Cricetulus griseus: one gene and its partner. The protein of the gene in region 1 binds, or shares a complex with, the protein of each later gene. Links are inferred from orthologs where the notes say so. Each region holds a gene or a part of one and is shown on either strand. Other genes may lie near its edges. The genes, in order: Flt3 and Flt3lg.

Region 1 (3,229 bases):
CCTTCATGGGAAGCCGTTACTGTTAGACTTGCCAATTCAGAAGCCCGTATCCAAGGTGACTTTCAAAGAAGCATGTTCTGCTAGGAGTGGTGGCATATCAAATATTTACATCACAATTCATAGCAGTAGCAAAAAATGCAGTTATGAAGTAGCAATGAAGTAGTTTTGTGGTTGGGGGTCACCACAACCTGAACTGTATTAAAGGGTAGCAGCATGAGGAAGGTTGAGAACCACTAGAACTCAGTTCCAGAGAGAACTGACACCCCCTTGTGGCCTTCTCTGGCACTGCATGCATGTGGTGCACTTAAATCTATGCAGACAAAACACCCATGCACATAAAGCTAAAAACAAAAACTTAAAAATCCATGATTCTGCACATGGGAGATTCACCATCCTCTCTTGTATTTGATGCAGGCACGGCTACCTGTGAAGTGGATGGCACCCGAGAGCTTATTTGAAGGTATCTACACAATCAAGAGTGACGTCTGGTCCTATGGAATCCTTCTCTGGGAGATATTCTCACTGGGTATGTATGCACATGGCAGGTCTCCCAGGGCTCTGGCTTTGTGTCTCCTGCTCCCTCTGCACCCCTCCTCCACCCTTCTGTCATCCAAGTCAGAAGGTAGGTGAAACACCACCCAGTCGCTCCAGTGGCTCCTGGCCTCGCTTCTGGCTTCTGTTGTCACTGTTTATGAGTTGTTGACCTGCCAAGATCTGCCTTAACTATGACTGATTCGGAGGCCTTGGGACTTCTGGGTCCACTTGCAGCCCTCAGTCAAGGTCACTGAGGAATTCTCTTTGCCTGTTTGCCAACAGAACATATAAACGTCAACAACAAAACATGGAAAACCAATGTTTGTGTGGCCCCATTGAGCTTGTGTTTTTCTCAGGTGTGAACCCTTACCCTGGCATTCCTGTTGATGCTAACTTCTATAAACTGATTCAGAGTGGATTTAAAATGGACCAGCCATTCTATGCTACGGAAGAGATGTAAGTACAATCAGACTGGGGGTTGATAGCAGGACATTTACTGTGTGCTGTAAATCTTCCAAATGCATGATACAACAATTGATTGTGGGGGTTGGGGATTTAGCTCAGAGGTAGAGCGCTTGTGGCAAGCGCAAGGCCCTGGGTTCGGTCCTCAGCTCTGGGGGAAGAAAAAAACCAAAATAACAAAAAAGAACAACTGATTGCTTTGTTTGTTTGGTTTTGGTTTTCTGAGATGGTTTCTCTGTGTAGCTGTCCTGGAATTTACTCTGTAAACCAGGCTGGCTTTGAACTCAGAGATCTTCCTGCCTCTGTCTCCCAGTTGATGGGATTAAAGTCATATATCACCACACCCAACTAAAAATCACTTTCCTATTACATTGCTTAGGTTTCTTCTTATTTTTTTTAAGATTTATTTATTTATGTATTTGGATGTTTTGTCTGCATGTACATTGGATCCCATGAGACAACAGTTACAGATGGTTGTGATCCACCATGTGGTTGCTGGGACTTGAACTCAGGACCTCTGGAAGAGCAGTCAGTGCTTTTAACATGTGAGCCACCTGACCCGGCATTGGTGGTGTGCTCCTTTAATCCCAGCACTGGGGAGGGAGAGGCAGGCGGATATCTGTGAGTTCGGGACCAGCCTGGTCTACAAGAGCTAGTTCCAGGACAGCCTCCAAAGCCACAGAGAAACCCTGTCTCGAAAAAACAAAACAAAACAAAACAAAAAAATCAAAAGACACATTTGAGCCATCTCTCCTGCCCTTGATCTCTAAAAGCAGAGAAAGCTTGGTGCAGTGGCACATGTCTTTAATCCCATGTAGGCAGGCTTTTCTTTTTGCACCACCAGCTGACAAAAAATGACATGGAGACTTATTATTAATTATGAAAGCTCAGCCTTAGTTTAGCCTTGCTCCTAACTAGATCTTGTTAAATAAATAAATAAATAAATTAACCCATATTTTTTAATCATCGTTCTCTTATGTGGCTCAGTTACCTTTATTCTGTGCTCCCCATCCTGCTTCCTCTCTGCCCAGCTGGTGACTCTGCCTTTTTCTTCCCAGAGCTCTCTCTATCCAGAGTCCCGCCCATACCTCCTGCCAATCACAGTGACACATCTTCACACACTGTAAAGGAATATTCCACATTTCCCCCTTTTGTCTAAATAAAAAAGAAAGGTCTGTTTTTGTTTGTTTGTTTTTTCGAGACAGGGTTTCTCTGTGGCTTTGGAGGCTGTCTTGGAACTAGCTCTTATAGACCAGGCTGGTCTCAAACTCACAGAGATCCTCCCGAGTGCTGGGATTAAAGGCATGTGCCACTACCGCCTGGCAAAAATAAGAAAGGTCTTAATTCTAATATGGTAAACCTATAAACAATAGGAACAGTTATCAGGTAAGAATTACATTCACAGGCTGGAGAGATAGCCCAGTGGTTAAGAACACTAGCTGGTCTTCCAGAGGTCCCTAGTTCAATTCCCAGCAACCACATGATGACTCACAACCATCTGAAATGAGATCTGGTGCCCTCTTCTGGCCTGAAGGGATACATGCAGACAGAACACTGTATATATAATAAATCTTAAAAAAAAATTACATTCACAATGTCCAGTCCAAATTTAGAGAAAATACTCCATTATCTATCCTATCTTAGTCCAAAGTTTTATACCTAAACCATTTTTGTCATGACTTACATTACATCTTTTTAGACCTTAAAACATCTTTTTAGATAAATAACTTAAGTTTTTATGTTTCTCAACCTTATAAACTTTACATCTCTTATGTAAGTTTTTTTTTCTGAATTTGATAACAAGGAAAACTCAAACTATAACTATCTAATCTTCAATCCGCAACAGAGACTCAAGAAGGATAAAATATTACCTGAGTAAGCAGGGAGTAGAAAGAAAGCAGTTTCCAAAACTATAGAAATGACAGAGACATTTGGCTGTCTGGAGAGTCACCCCAAGGTTCCTCTGCAATGCCACATCTTTACACAGTGTAAGGGTTTTCCACAGCATCCCAGCATTGGGAGGCAGAGGCAGGAGGATCTCTGAATTGAAGCCAGTCTGGTCTACCTAGTGAGTTCAAGAACAGCTAGAGTTTCAAAACAGTGATACCCTGTCTTGAAAAAAATCAATCAATCAATGAAAAGTTTCAAGAGACAGGAGGAAGAAGCAGCAGGAAGGGCTTGGGGATAGTTGCCTATAATCCCAGCACTTCAGAGATGAGGCTTGAGATAGTAG
Region 2 (2,552 bases), on another chromosome or scaffold:
GCTGTGCGCGGCGCCATTACTCCCTCAAGGACCGGCGGCTGCGGAGCGCGCGGTGGCCGCCAGGGGGCGAGCGTAAGTCCCGGCCGGTCTCGCAGTGTCCGCGTCCCCTCCCTTCAACCTCATGGTGTGCGGACAACTGATGGCCTTTCTTGAATCTAGGAGTTTCCGAATGTTAAACCGGTGGAGGTAGTCACCCCAGAAGGAAGAGACGGTGGGAGGAAGGACTTGCAGGGTCCTGGGCCGCAGACACGTGCTTCTGTTGCAATGGCCTTTGTATCGGCTAAGCATGCCATCTGAGATACCCTCCCTGAGGGGTACCTATACCTCCCACAACAAAACACAGATTGGGCCGTCTCACTGACTCACTTTCTCTAGAGAACCTCCCCAAACTCCCCAGCCTGACTCGATTCCTCCTGGAGGCTCCAGCACTTTGTTTTCCTGCCACTTGGTGGCTTTATGATCTTGCTTCTGCCTCACATCGGGGTTCTGTTAGAGAGAGCATCACCCAGTGCTGACCCTGGGCCATTGGTGGCCTCAGAAAACAAACCTGTTGTCGTGGTTTTGGCTTCTGACATAGTATTTCTGCAATCCTGGCTGGCCTTAAACTTGAGATCCTGCCTCAGCTTCTGGGGAGGTGGGATTACATGACCAAGCCCCGCAAAACCAAGATCCTGAGACCTAAAGCAGCCCACCCACTCCCTGTCCCGTCCACAGATAGGTCCGGAAGATCTGGTAAAAACCATTTATATACAAATTCATGGGAGCAAGGAGTTTGTACAGAGTGGGGTGAGTGGGGCTGGGTCCTGATGTTGACTTCATCCTGGGGAGAGGGCTGGAGGGGCAGCAAGGTCCAAGAAGGGGCCAGGCTCTACCCAACTTTCCCTGTGTCCAGGTTGTGCAACATCTGTCAGGTGACGCCTGCTTGGCCTCAGTATCCTCCTCTGTAAAACTGGATCATCAATGGTCTGTCTGAAGACTGGAGTTCTCAGCACCCTTCAAGCCCTCTACCACTGAGCTTACACCCTCCCACCTCTCCCTGCCCCTCCCTACACCCACCCCACCCCCCTTTAGGCTAGCCTCGAATTTCTGTGTATTAGTAGATAACCCAGAATCCTGACCCTTCTGCCTCCCCTCCAGGGTGTAGGAACTCGGACTTGCACCACAAAATCTACTCCAAGTTTTTTGTTTTTGTTTTTTCCGAAGGGAGTCTTACAGCCAGGTGTGGTGACACACACCTTTAATCCTATGGCTGAGGAAGCAGAGGCTGGTGGATCTCTTGAGTTCCAAGCCAGCCTGATCTACACAGCAGTTCCAAATCAGATAGGACTACAAGAGACCCTGTCTCAAAACAAACAAACAAATAAACAAATCATGGCCCTCAAACTGGCTTAAAGGATAAAAGGCCTCGGCCACCAAGCCTGAAGGCCTGAGTTCCATCCCTGGGGCCCACTGGTAGAAGGAGAGCATGACCAACTCCTGCCAGTTGTCCTGTGACTTGTACACAGGCACCATGGTACACTTACACAGCCCCTATGTGTAATAATTTTTATTTGTTTGGGGAGGGTTGAGTGTAAATTTTTCAAAAGAGGAATTACTGTCTGGTGTGATAGTACATACCTGTGATCCCAGCACTCCAGAGGTAGAGGCAGGAGAATGGATTACCCAGGAGTTCCAGGCCATCTGAGCTACAGAGACACTAGTTCAAAAAATAATAAATAAATAGGATTGGGATTATAAATATGTACCACTATGTCTGATAAGTGGTGTGCATTTCAGAAACATGCCCAGAAAATGGGAAACCACAAAATTTAGAAACTTCCAGCTTGTTTTAACTAAGCCGACGGCGGGTCTAATTTGGCAGTGTAAATATTAAGTGCAGATGAAGTGTTTCTAGTGACTGTGTGGTGGCAGGTGGAAGCCAGAGCCTTATTTGTGCAAGGGCCCTGTCATCAGCTCCAGCTCAGCATTTCAATTTCTCACTGTTATTTTGAGAAATATCTCTAAATTGTCCAGGCTGGCCTTGACATTTGATTCCTCTGGAATAGATTCCAGGCATGCAGCACCATACCCAGAGCTGGGCTGACAGGAGAACCGCCCAGGGCTACAATGCTCTTCTCTCTCCCTTGTTCTTTCTCTACGTCAGTGCTCCAGCCTCAGAAGTGCTGGAACTGCAGATACTCATCACCATGCTTGGACATCATGTCCTCTGGGCAGGGGATGCAGCTGAGCAGCACAGTGTTTGTCTAGCCTGTTCCTTGTTTTGATCCCTACCTCTAGCATCCAGAAAACAATGAAAAAAGAAAAAGAAAAGCCTCATCTATAACATGTCTATAGGCCCAGCTATTTGGAAAGCTGGGACAGGAAGATTCATGGAGGTGTTCAAAGTCATTTTGGGCAACATACTGACTGAGCCATTGCAAAAAAAATAAGTGTCACTGAACTGAGTGTTTGTTTGTTTGTTTATTTGAGACAGGAGACAAGGGTGCACTGTGTATCTCACAATGGCCTTGAACTCACTGTGTAGCCCAGGCTGGTCAGACCTTTCAGCAGTC

The links.
Region 2: the proteins of Flt3 (region 1) and Flt3lg are in contact, whole or in part, in a crystal structure (PDB 7QDP), measured with the Homo sapiens proteins. The link is inferred for Cricetulus griseus from reciprocal best matches to the Homo sapiens genes FLT3 and FLT3LG. Residues at the interface, in NP_004110.2 of Homo sapiens: Asp180, His279, Gly280, Phe281, Gly282, Met300, Ser301, Thr302, Tyr303, Asn306, Arg307, Met309, Arg311, Ser333; in NP_001191431.1 of Homo sapiens: His34, Ser35, Pro36, Ile37, Ser38, Ser39, Asp40, Lys44, Lys87, Glu99, Asn102, Thr103, Glu104, His106, Phe107.

The regions. Positions count from the first base shown.
Region 1 is NC_048597.1:83,194,310-83,197,538, reverse strand, and holds part of Flt3 (receptor-type tyrosine-protein kinase FLT3), read left to right. Parts: intron 1-414; coding exon 415-526; intron 527-890; coding exon 891-990; intron 991-3,229. UniProt on the Homo sapiens protein: Tyrosine-protein kinase that acts as a cell-surface receptor for the cytokine FLT3LG and regulates differentiation, proliferation and survival of hematopoietic progenitor cells and of dendritic cells.
Region 2 is NC_048599.1:154,016,431-154,018,982, forward strand, and holds the end of Flt3lg (fms-related tyrosine kinase 3 ligand), read right to left. Parts: intron 1,697-2,552; exon of another isoform or gene 1,618-1,696; intron 950-1,617; coding exon of another isoform or gene 942-949; coding exon 816-941; 3' UTR 729-815; downstream 1-728. UniProt on the Homo sapiens protein: Stimulates the proliferation of early hematopoietic cells by activating FLT3. Synergizes well with a number of other colony stimulating factors and interleukins. Required for the development of B cells, and dendritic cells (DCs).